Caenorhabditis elegans: one gene and its partner. The protein of the gene in region 1 interacts with the protein of each later gene in a biochemical or structural test. Each region holds a gene or a part of one and is shown in the gene's direction. Other genes may lie near its edges.

Evidence for each region. The genes of interacting proteins can lie anywhere in the genome.
Region 2: of the proteins of atf-2 (region 1) and pmk-2, one has a biochemical effect on the other in vitro, tested with the Caenorhabditis elegans proteins (one study listed by BioGRID).

What each region holds. Positions count from the first base shown.
Region 1 is NC_003280.10:8,749,997-8,754,450, forward strand, and holds atf-2 (Transcription factor atf-2), read left to right. Parts: upstream 1-1,989; coding exon 1,990-2,120; intron 2,121-2,194; coding exon 2,195-2,570; intron 2,571-2,800; coding exon 2,801-3,023; intron 3,024-3,105; coding exon 3,106-3,362; intron 3,363-3,435; coding exon 3,436-3,534; intron 3,535-3,622; coding exon 3,623-3,742; 3' UTR 3,743-3,937; downstream 3,938-4,454. Other genes in the region: K08F8.7 (MARVEL domain-containing protein), read right to left, coding at 4,165-4,222, 4,278-4,454. UniProt on the Caenorhabditis elegans protein: Acts as a transcription factor that recognizes and binds to the sequence 5'-[GA]TTA[CT]GTAA[CT]-3', a sequence present in many promoters.
Region 2 is NC_003282.8:8,141,734-8,149,179, forward strand, and holds pmk-2 (Mitogen-activated protein kinase pmk-2), read left to right. Parts: upstream 1-1,766; 5' UTR 1,767-1,777; coding exon 1,778-1,882; intron 1,883-2,479; coding exon 2,480-2,565; intron 2,566-2,614; coding exon 2,615-2,803; intron 2,804-3,308; coding exon 3,309-3,420; intron 3,421-5,319; coding exon 5,320-5,397; intron 5,398-5,448; coding exon 5,449-5,563; intron 5,564-5,891; coding exon 5,892-5,963; intron 5,964-6,012; coding exon 6,013-6,109; intron 6,110-6,193; coding exon 6,194-6,398; intron 6,399-6,448; coding exon 6,449-6,598; 3' UTR 6,599-6,915; downstream 6,916-7,446. Other genes in the region: Mitogen-activated protein kinase pmk-3, read left to right, coding at 1-129, 303-909, 991-1,067; Mitogen-activated protein kinase pmk-1, read left to right, coding at 7,073-7,221, 7,266-7,446. UniProt on the Caenorhabditis elegans protein: Responds to activation by environmental stress and pro-inflammatory cytokines by phosphorylating downstream targets.

The sequences.
Region 1 (4,454 bases):
ATTAATTCACTTTTCAAAGTGGGCAGACTCAAAGAATACCTCTTTTTCATGTGAAAAGCTAAAACTTCACTTGTTCCAATTTAAAAGTTCTAAGAAAATAACAGTTCTTCTTGACAATCCTAGATTCAAGTAAAGATACCTTTATCTAAAATTGAATTTCAATTTTCTCTCCTCTTTTTCCAATTTCATTCACTTTCCTTCCCATAGCCTGCATACTTTCACCGACTCGTTCCCGAACGATATGATCGTGCTAGCCACTCTCTCTTTCTCGTATCGAACTGCGATCTTTCAGTTCCCAACAAGAATACCATCATTTCAACACCTCACTTTCGCAATCAACTACCAAAAGTGCACTCTCACTCTGTTACTCTACCTAACCGTATTATCCGCTCTCCATGTAAAACTACTGAAGTAGACACAGCAAGGGACAGGCACACACTCACTGGTCATCAAAATCATCAAATGATGCAGTGAATTTGGCTGTTCTGGTTTGCAGACAAAAAAGTTTTGGAAGCGGTGCGGGAGGATAGTGGACACTGTTTGTGATTCACTTCTCGTCATTCTCCGAGCCTTACAAACAAACAAAAATAGCTCTCTCTTTTCGCTGACGATTGTCCCCCAACACGGGCGGCGGTTATTTTGGCTCTCGCCACTCTTTTTCAAGGTGCACAATCAAAAACAAACAAGTCCAGCCCGATTTCGCGAATTTGTTCATCTAGTTCAACGCATTTTTTTCATTTTGAATACATTTGCTTGTATCGTTTCCGAGTTTCTTGAACAATTACTTTCAGAATTGAGTATCATTTTTTGTGTTCAGCAGTGAAAAATAACCAAAATTTCTCTATCAGGCTTGCACTCACATTGGTCATATTTTACAGTCCTGACCTAGAGTGCGTTTATGAATTTTTCAAGACTTTTGTTTATCTAAACCTACCAATTTTTTCTTCGTTATCTTTTTCAACTTTATCTTTTAGCCGTATCTCATTATTCACTTTCCACCCAGTAGCTTCATCCTCTTGTCTTCCAATTCTCCGCAAAGTTCACCTACCCTTTTGTACTAGTGACCTGATGCGACGAATTCAACCATTGACCTCCTCCTCCTTCTCACACTTAGACACACATACATCCGTAACCCGAAGCAGCGAAAGTTAAGCATGAAAGCGAAAGGAAAGTGAAAACAATTAGGAAAAGTCGGCATCATCATGGATCGGAGGAGGCGACGCGTTGAAGTCGTTGCGAACGATGAAAAATGATTAGGAGACGGGTCGAAGAAAAAGAGAAGGGACTGCAATGAAGAGAGAAGGGGGCGAAAGTCGGAGGGGATATCCTGTTCTTCGACTGGTTTATTGTAGAGACTGAGAGTGAGAGGATCTACCAAGCATTGTCCGAAACATTGACCATGGCTAACTGGTTTGCAAGGCGCAAATAGGTCAACTGAGGAGAGGCACAACACCGCTTAATTGTTGCTAACTGCACTCTACACCTACCATATGAACACACCTGTACCAGATATACTTTGTTTTCTCACCTTTTTTTAAGTTAGTGATTTTCTGGTTGTCTAGATACTCAGGGATTAGCATTGCGTAAGATCATCTTCACTGAAACCAAAAACTGAATAATTTTTGTATACACATTGGTCAATTAAAATGGCTTACAATTAATTAATAATATCTGGAAACAGTGAACACATTGAACTTCTGATTGTGCTGAATCTCCAAAGATCGTGTCAATTTCAACTCAAAAAGACGTATTTGTCCTTACATCAAATAGGTTGACAGCTTCTTTTAACTCTACTAACTTTCCATTTCAATACACCATGTGTACTAACATTTTGAAGTCAAAATATAAATGTTGTGTCTTAATTCATTTTGAAAGATTTTGGTATTCATATTTCTTTCACCGATGTTCTTTTCTTTCAAATTTCGTACTTCTATATTCTTGATTTTCTTCTTTTGTTTGACTTTTAATCATCTTATTTTTATTTTTCAGATGGACGTCGACTCGGCATCATTGTCACCGTCCTCCAGACTTTCGGTGGTTTGTTCGGCATCCGCCGAGTTCTCATCGAGCTCGTCGGATTCGTCGAACTTTTCAGAAGGATCTCCCCCGGAATCTAGAAGGTTTGAATTTTTAACAGTTTGATGAAACTTTTGAAAGTTTAAATACTTTTCGACATTGATAACTATTTTTCCAGAAATTCCGTAAACGAAAGTGTAATAAAAGATGAACATTACTGGGAAAGGCGACGGAGAAATAACGATGCATCAAGAAGAAGTCGAGAAAAGCGAAGGCAAAACGATCTAGCAATGGAAGAAAAAATAATGTTACTTTCCGCCGAAAACGAACGGTTAAAATCTCAGTTAGGAACGACACCAATTCCACAACCATCAGTAACAGAGCCTCCAACATCTCTGATTATTCCCCAAGTTGCAAAGAATCTTTTCCCAGCGGGTCCAATAGCATCTTTGCAAGCGAGTTCAATGCTTACTGTTCCATTGCTCCAGGCAGCTTCGCATATTCCATCAATGTTGCAGCTTTGTCAACTACAGCCAACAACTATTCAGTCACCGGTAAGTTATTTTATTGAACTTGGAAATATCGAAATTGTGATGATTTAAATAAAATAAATTAACTCGTGGAAAAATATTTACTATTACAAAAACGTCTGAACCGCATATAAAGTTCCATTGTCATTTTTTGGCAACACAACTCAGATTGTCAACAATTTAATGAATACATTGACAGCTGAATGCGTGACCTAGAAAGACAGATGTCCCATAACGTTTTTCCATGTTTGTAGGTCTATGCGAGCACTCAACAACCTGCATCAACGTCAGCATCATCTTTATTCTCTTCATCGTCTTCATCTGCATTTCATCCTTTTCGACCATCAGAAAGTGCTCAGCAGAGTTTTCCATCGAGTAGCGTAATTGTGAAAATTGAACGAAGAAGTCCAGATTCATCAACTGACGTGAATATGCCTCAACCTCAGTTACAGCCTGGATCTAGCGTTATTCAACAAAGTAAGTCGTTGTTTTTGAAAGTAAAGAGCATATTTTCATTTCACTAGTATTAATTGAAACTATAATCTAAAATTTATTTCAGTCGGTCAGCCTGCTCCATCAGGTACGCCTCAACCAGTAATCCAAGCTGTTCAACAAGGACCATCCCTGCTATCTGCTCTTCTTTCACAGCGAAGACCTTCTCCTACAGTACCACAAAGCCGAACGGAACATATTTCGGGGCTAAATTCCCCTCCAAGACATACTGGAAACAAATCAGACTGTGAAAGTGTATCGTCTTCAGCATCTTTCTCTCCATCGCATTCTTCGGAAGATCACTCAAATTATTCGAACAAATCGGTAAGTTTTTTTAAAGGAATTGAAAGAAGACATTTTTAAATACATGTCAAATATTTCAAAAAAAAACTTTCAGCCCCAATATGTGGACAGACGTCGAAGGAACAATGAAGCCGCAAAAAGATGTAGAGCAAATAGACGAGCAGTATTCGAATACAGGTCACGACGAGTTCAGGTAAGTTGAAACTAATTTTAATAGAAAACATAAAATTTTAAAACTTAGATATAAATTTATTGAATCAATTATTACTTAACATTTTCAGCTCTTGGAAGGTGAAAATGAAGATCTTCGTACCCAAATCGAAACGCTAAAAGCAGAAATAGCCCACTTCAAATCAGTTTTGGCTCAAAGAGCATCAGTTGTTACTGCCCTTCACCCTTGATCCCATTCCATTTTCTTATTTTTGACTAATACGGATAGAAAGCCAATTTTCTTCGTCTTCTCGCTAGATGCCCCCCAATCAAAGTCTTTCGCTCTCAAAAAACCCTTCCTCTCTTTCTGCAATACTTCCAATCATTCATGTGCAATACTTTTTAACTTTAAATGTTTCATTAATTGTTTCTAATAAAACCAATGTGTTATTATTTTTGATTTGCTTCCTGTACAAAAAAAGGTGAAACAACAAAAAAAAGTAAAGTCTGCAAACGATTTTTAAAATCCACCCGTCGCTTGCCAGAAAACGGAAACTTTTCAGAATGATATAACTGAATCAGAAAATTGTTTTATTAATGTTTCATATATACAAATTATTATGAGAAAGTGAATTTAAAGTTGAGCATTGATAATTATTTGATTACTTTTCCATTAAACAGAACTTGTTTGCCCTTTTCGTTGATACTCCATGTAAATGTCATGTATACTTCTGAAAGGACATGAAATATAAAATATTTCCTAATTTTATGCAAATCTTGACCCACTTTTCCGTTTCGATGACGGCAACAGACGGTGGCGGAATGTCATAAATTGGCGCCTTTTTTGAATTACGATAAAAATAGAAGGCATTCAGGCCTAGATCCAGAAGTCCAAATACTAGAACCAAAAAGCAAAATACTGAAGCAACTTGGAATGTTCCAGTGGAAACTGATTGATAACAT
Region 2 (7,446 bases), on another chromosome or scaffold:
GCGGGTCGTAGTCTTTATCAGATCTTGAAGCAACAAAGAGATTATGGACGGCGCGTGCTGACCGACGAGCATATCAAATTCATCATTTATCAAATCATACGTGCACTTAAGTACATTCATTCTGCTAATGTAAGTCAATGGAGTTAGTGAACAGAACATTGCTCATTCTTTTTTTTTTAATAGAAATATCAGCATTTTAGATTAAATAAAATTTCATATAGGAGGATTAGGCACGATTAGGCCATAATTAGTCAAAAAGAACATGACTAAAACACGAAAATATATTTATTAAAATTTTTTAGATTATACATCGTGACTTGAAACCAGGAAATCTCGCGTTGACCGATGATTCTGACCTCATGATTCTCGATTTTGGACTTGCAAGATCCTTGGAAAAGAAAGATACTTCTCTAACACAATATGTACAAACAAGATGGTACCGTAGTCCAGAAGTCATTTATTGGAAGATTGATAGTTACACAAATCTGGCAGATATGTGGTCACTTGGATGTATTGCTGCAGAACTTTTAACTGGAGAACCACTGTTTCCGGGTGATGAGCCCAATGCTCAATATCAACGTATTACTCAATTATGTGGAAGTCCTGATGAAGAACTTTTGACAAAGATTGAAAATGATAACTCGTCTGCAATTAAAGCCGTAATTCAATCCTACACAACTCACAAACGTCGAAATTTCCGTGATGTATTTTCTGCTCATAATCCATCAGAAGACTTTATTGATCTACTTGAGAAGCTTTTAGTTTTGGATCCAGAGAAGAGGATTACGGTGGAAGAAGCTATTCAACATCCATATTTGGCAGAGTTTTCACTTCCAGAAGATGAACCAAGAGCTGATCATATATTTGACTTGGATGACTCTCAAGCTAGAACAAGATTCGAGTGGAGAGGTAAGGCTCAAAGATCACGTAATAGAATTCTGCACACCTGCAAATTTGAAAAACAACAAATGCAAAAATATTTTATTACAGATGCCGTCTGGAAGGAAATAATGAACTACAAAAGACTCAGCTCATCACCGTTAATCCCTGGAGAAGCAGATCGCTGATTTCATTCAATTATATTAATTGTATATAATTCCGGAAATGTATTACTTCTTTTCCCTCTCTCTTTCTCGTCTCTTTGTCGTTCAGTGATAGCAACACTTTACAGGTGATAATGATGTTTTCCATCTTCTCTTTCAAATTCTTTCAGAGTATTTATTTTCTTGCATTCTATAGCTTCTTCCTTTTATGTCTCTGTCTCCTTCTCTCTTTCTCTTTACTTCTCCATTTCTCTGAATCTCTTTGTCTCGTTTTTCTCTCATGCTTTTATCCCATCATATTTTTTTATATTCGTCATTCTTGTCATTGCACCCTTACACATACTAATTAGTTCAATAAACTTATTTTCTTTTGACAATTCGTTTTAAAAGCTTGAAGTGTTTTATAAAAAAGAGATTGGTTCTAATCCGTGTCACTCATATTTTACACGAGCTTATATGTTTAAAGTGAGATTATCTGAAAATTTCTGGAATTTTTTTAATATAAAAAGCATAGTTTGACTTGACAAAGTTAATCCTGAACTTCAGCTTAAAACGTTTATTCAATTAGCAGAAAAATTCAAACATTTAAAAAATGTGAAATAAGATTGAATTATTATTTTGGAATACCTATGTAGGCAATTGTCTGCCCTTTTTCGAAATATTAAAACTTTCGTGCAAAAATGTAAAAATTATATTTACAAATTCAATTCAAACTTTTTCTAGATGTCTTGTTGATGGGGATGTCGGCGACCATGGGCGATTCAGCCAGCATTCCCGGTGTCTTTTTTGCCGATTTTGGTCCTGCCCCGCCTGAGATTACTCCAGAAGGATATCATGAGGTATAGTTACAGAAGAAGATTTTTTATAGTGTAGTGAATATTGTCTAAATATACTAGAATGAGCTAAAAGAAATTTTGCAAATTACAAAAACCCAATGAGTTAATTTTAGATTATTCATCATTTTTAGTCAAAGTTTTGGAAAATTTCCAAATTTGCGGACTATTTGAAAAAAAAATTAAGATTTTTTTAATCACTTGAACAAAAATGATTTTATAACGAAAGTCAGGAGAGATTTTTTTTGGTCGGCTTCCAAAATTTTTTTTTTGAATTCCTTTTTTTTTTTTGAATTCTTTAAAAAAATCCAATGTTTTCTTAAAAGTAAAACACAATTACTCATTTTTTGCACTATGGAAGTATTTTTTAATCATCTTCTCCCTGTTGCGCTACTCCATTTTTACAGTTGCCAAAATAAAAATAACTACAAAATTCACGAAGATCATAGGATATGAGACATAATGTGATGGTGATATCATTGGAAATAAATATAAATTGTCAAAAACTATAAATCTATAAATTCATAATAAAAAAAAACTATAAATTCAACTACATATTTTCCTTTTTTATTTCATTGCAATTTTTAGTTAGATTATTTGTAGGTCGAACTAAACAAAACGAAATGGGTCTTACCTCAATGGTACAACAGTTTGAAGCCTCTAGGAGAAGGAGCGTATGGAGTTGTATGGTAAGTTACAAAAATTGAGATATATCTAAAATCTGACATTTTTTTGTAGCACAGCAGAATATGAGCCAACTGGAGATCGAGTTGCAATTAAAAAGTTCTTTCGCCCATTTCAAAGTACAATTCACGCAAAACGAACCTATCGGGAACTGAAACTTCTAAGAACTCTACAACATGATAATGTATTGGAAATGATTGATGTATTCACACCAGATCCAGATGCATCTTCTTTGAATAATGTGTGAGTTTCGGATTGTTTAGGGGAATAAATTGCTTCTCAAGAATATTTAAGGGATTTGAGAAAAAAGAGGATTAGATGATGAGAGAATAGAAAACCCGGAACAAGGTAGAAAAAGTTTGAGAATTTGAAAAGATTAGACTGGAATAAAGTTAAAATAAAATTGAATTCAAAAAATGAAAACATTTTCAAATACAAAAATAGTATATTTTCATTTTTAGTGAATAATTGCGGATTTCAACGAATTCAACGCATATCTGTCAACTCTTTTTTATATTTCGGAAATTATTCAGCCAGGCTCGGTAACTTGCCAAATTTTGAAAAATAGTGGGGCTTCTGAAAAATTTGAAACGAAATCAAATCTTTAGTTAAAATACTATGACATAATTTTTTGAAATGGTTTAGTCGTTCCAACAATTACTGACACTACTCCGCGCGCTTCAAAAAATACTGAAGAAATTTCGAATAAATCCAAAAATCTAAATATCTGACGAATTTACAATTTCAGATATTTCGTATCCGTTCTGATGGGCTCCGATTTACAAAATATTATGAAAATCCAACGACTGACCGATGAACAAATCCAACTGCTTATCTATCAAGTGTTACGTGGGCTCAAGGTATTATTTTCATTCCCTATTTCTGGTTATGTCAGCACTCAAACCCTATAATTTTCGTATCTCCTTTTCTCGTATTTTCTCAGGTTTTTACTCATATTTCACAAAATACGATTTGCTTTAGAAAGGCAATATGAGAGATATAAAACAAGTTTTCAGAAAATAGAAAAACAGTAGGGAATTTTCAGAATAAATTATTTTTAAGTGTTCTCAAACTTTTTCCCCAGTTTCGATGCCTGCGTCTCTGCATCTTGTTTTCCTGCAATTTCTAATTAAATTCTGAAGACGATTACTCCATCCTTTCATTCTTTTTTCTCTTCCTTTTTCTCTCTGATAGATGCATTTTTTCGATTAGGCACGGGTCAAGAGATGAGAATGTAGAAAGCCACTTTTTTCGGCCACTGAAAAGCCTTCAAATGTTATGCTCCAGCGGCTTTTCCAAACACTTCAAAAGTGATTTTTATGGAAAAATTATAGTTTCACTGTAATGCGACAGATTAGTTTTTGAATGAAAATATAAATCACAACTTTTTTTTTTAATTTCGTAGTTCTTATTACATCCGAAGATTTTAGACAAACCAGTTGAAAGCTCAATTTTTCTCGTTTTCTCTCTTGAGTTAAAATGGAAAACCAAATACGCAGAAATGATATATGAATGTGACAGGTTCTACATGGAACATTCATTCTGTTAGACAGAATACGAATGAATTCAAAGAAGAGTGCATTTTCGTATTTTTTGCCATAAATTGTGATTTCGAAGCATTTCGACAGTTTTAAAGAATTTAAAACGTAGTTTCTTTTCGAGTTTTGACATTTGAAAGTTTTTTCTATCCGTAAGACAGTGCCTTACTCCAGGGTACGGTAACGGATTTGCTCATACTTGAACCCGATGCTTTTCAATAAAATTCCATATTTTTTCCCGATCCGGTAATGTGATTTTCGGTAACATAAAATGTTTAAAGATAATTCCATTAATGTGAAATAGTCTCATAACAAAAATCTCAACTTGAAGATCGTTAGAATGCCCAGCTCAAACGTTTAAGTTTTATTTACAAGGAAATCTGAACATTTGGTTTCTGTCTGAAATTGTATCTGTTTTTAAGATACACGCATTTATCCGATATTTGGATACAATATATTTCCAATGACATACGTTCAAATCTAAAACAAGAGTTACCTTGCATTCCACTCTCTCACTCTATATACCGTGACCTATGCAATACCATTTGTGTAACCTCCTGCGTATCTCAATCACGTGTACTATCTCATAAAATAGTGATCGATGAACACCTTGTCTCCTTTATAATGCCAAATACAACATTAGGCTAAACACAGGCTGTTTTCTATCCATTTTTTGACTTTTTTCTCTAAGTTTCCTCACATTCAATTCTACTACGGTTTTGTTTCATTTTTCATGATAAAAGTGGTATGCTGGCAGACTATTGTTTACATAGTACACACTTCTTTTTTTTTTCTTTTTTTGTTGAAAAAAAATCTTTTGAAAGCTTTTTAAACTTTTTTCAATCTGAAAATTAAAAAAAACATTGAATTTTGCGTTTTGTGGTAATATATTTAAAATATGAGCTTTTAAATTTATTTTCTGTTTCAGAGAATGGGAAAACTTCTTATAAGAACAGATTTTAACTTGTTGAACATTAAAATACTTTTTAATCTAAACAGTTTGATGTGAACAGTTGCAAATAACGCTTCAGTACATGAGTCACCAAAATTTCAATTCAACTATTATTCTGAAAAAATTAATGCATCCTTTTCAAAGAAGAAACACACGTTTTAGGCTGGTTAAATCTTACAACAGCTTTGTTTCAAATATTTCTTCCAAAAATTCTTTGATCTTTTTCTCCTAATACTCTTTTACATTCAAATATTTTCCTATTCTTGCAGTATATCCATTCGGCAGGGATTATCCATCGCGATTTAAAACCATCGAATATTGCTGTCAATGAGAGATGCGAAGTCAAGGTTTTTCTTAGTTTTTCTCAACTTTCTTTCCTAATTCTTTCATTTTTCAAGATTCTCGATTTTGGATTGGCTCGTGCTCAAGACGCCGAAATGACTGGATACGTGGCAACAAGATGGTACAGAGCTCCAGAGATTATGCTCAATTGGATGCATTATACACAGACTGGTGAGTAAATAAAAGAAATTGGTTTCTATGCACTTAAATAGTCACCTAAAATCTTTGAACTAAATTGTTAAATATCATATGATTTGAGGTTAACTTCTGACATTTTGAAAGCATGTTTCACCTGTTTCTTGTAGTTATGCTAAAACGTGTGAAAATATGAAGAATAAACTTTGACTTGATATTGGTATTTCTGGTTTCTGCAATTCTCTCTCTATTCCAACTTCCTATTTTTTCAAATAAACGAAAAACTTGATATATTTATCACATGAAACAAAAACATCATTTTTTTTTACTTCTAAAAATGTTACCAAAATATTGAATTTTTCAGTTGATGTTTGGTCAGTTGGATGTATTCTTGCGGAACTGGTATCCGGGAGACCATTGTTTCCAGGCGATGATCGTGAGTTTTATTCTATTCCTCTAATACTTTAAATATTTAAAATTTGCAGATATTGATCAGCTAACAAAGATAATGTCAGTTGTGGGTACCCCAAAAGAAGAATTCTGGTCCAAAATTCAATCAGAAGAAGCTCGAAATTATATTAAGTTAGTGTTGCAAATACTTCTGAAATTCAATTACTAGACTAGAACTGAAAAAAAAAATAAATCGTTTACGCAAAAATCTTTCAGAAATCGTTCTCCAATTATCCGTCAGGACTTCGTTACATTGTTTCCAATGGCTTCTCCATATGCTCTCGAACTTCTCGAAATGATGCTAATTTTGGATCCGGACAGAAGAATTTCTGTATCAAGTGCTCTTCGTCATGACTATCTTCGTGAATACTCTGTGCCAAATGATGAACCAGTTGCAATGGATACGGTAATAAATAGCATAGTACGAAATTTAAGTTCGCTTCTCTAAAAGTACTCCAATTTTCTTGTTAGGTCACAATTGATCCAGCTGAAGAACGAGCAACAACGTTATCCGACTGGCGAGAGTTAATTTGGAATGAGATTCGATTATTCCAAAACTCGGCACGAAGACTAAGTTTTGTAAGCTGTACGGATACGGAAGAAGAGCCAATGAAAATATGAAGTCAAATGTGTTCAAGTGCTAAAATATCTCAAAACTGTGGAATTTTCTTTTTTCTATATTGTATCTCCCTAAACTATTTATTTCACTAAAAATCAAATTTGTGTCCCTAATTCCTTGATCTCTAATTATCCAACAATCGATCTCAGATGTTCTTTTCCACAAAATCTCAATTTTTTCCTTTGAAACCATAGACTTGTGATTTACCTTAACTTTCTCGTTAATCCTATAAGTTGCCATGACCTCAGAGCCTCTTTTAATTTATTATTCATTTAGATTCATTTATCAAATTGAAGTGTATAAAGAATTAATGTAAATATTCAATTTTCTAAATACTCTTAAACATTTAATCGGTTCAAATTGCCGCTTAATTTTTATATTTACATTTATATTGGTTTTACGTACACAAAAAAATCATATTTTTTTCAAAATAATTACTTCAAATCTTACAAACATGATTCCAGGTAACGGAGCCAATGTTTCCACAGACAACAATGGATCATATACTTCATCCGACTCCACGAGAAGGATACTATGTCGTTGAGCTTAATCGAAGTGTCTGGGTTGTTCCAAATTATTATATTAACTTGACTCCAATTGGTACCGGAGCATATGGAACTGTTTGGTATGTCATTTCAACTGATTTTTACTTTATTTTTCGATTTTTAGTGCTGCTGAATGTACTCGCTCGGGGACTCGCGTCGCAATCAAAAAATTCAATCGTCCATTTCAATCAATAATTCATGCCCGTCGTACATATCGTGAACTCCGACTTCTTCGTTGTATGTGTCATGAAAATATAATTGATCTACTTGATGTCTTCACTCCAAATGAGAATGTAAATGATATC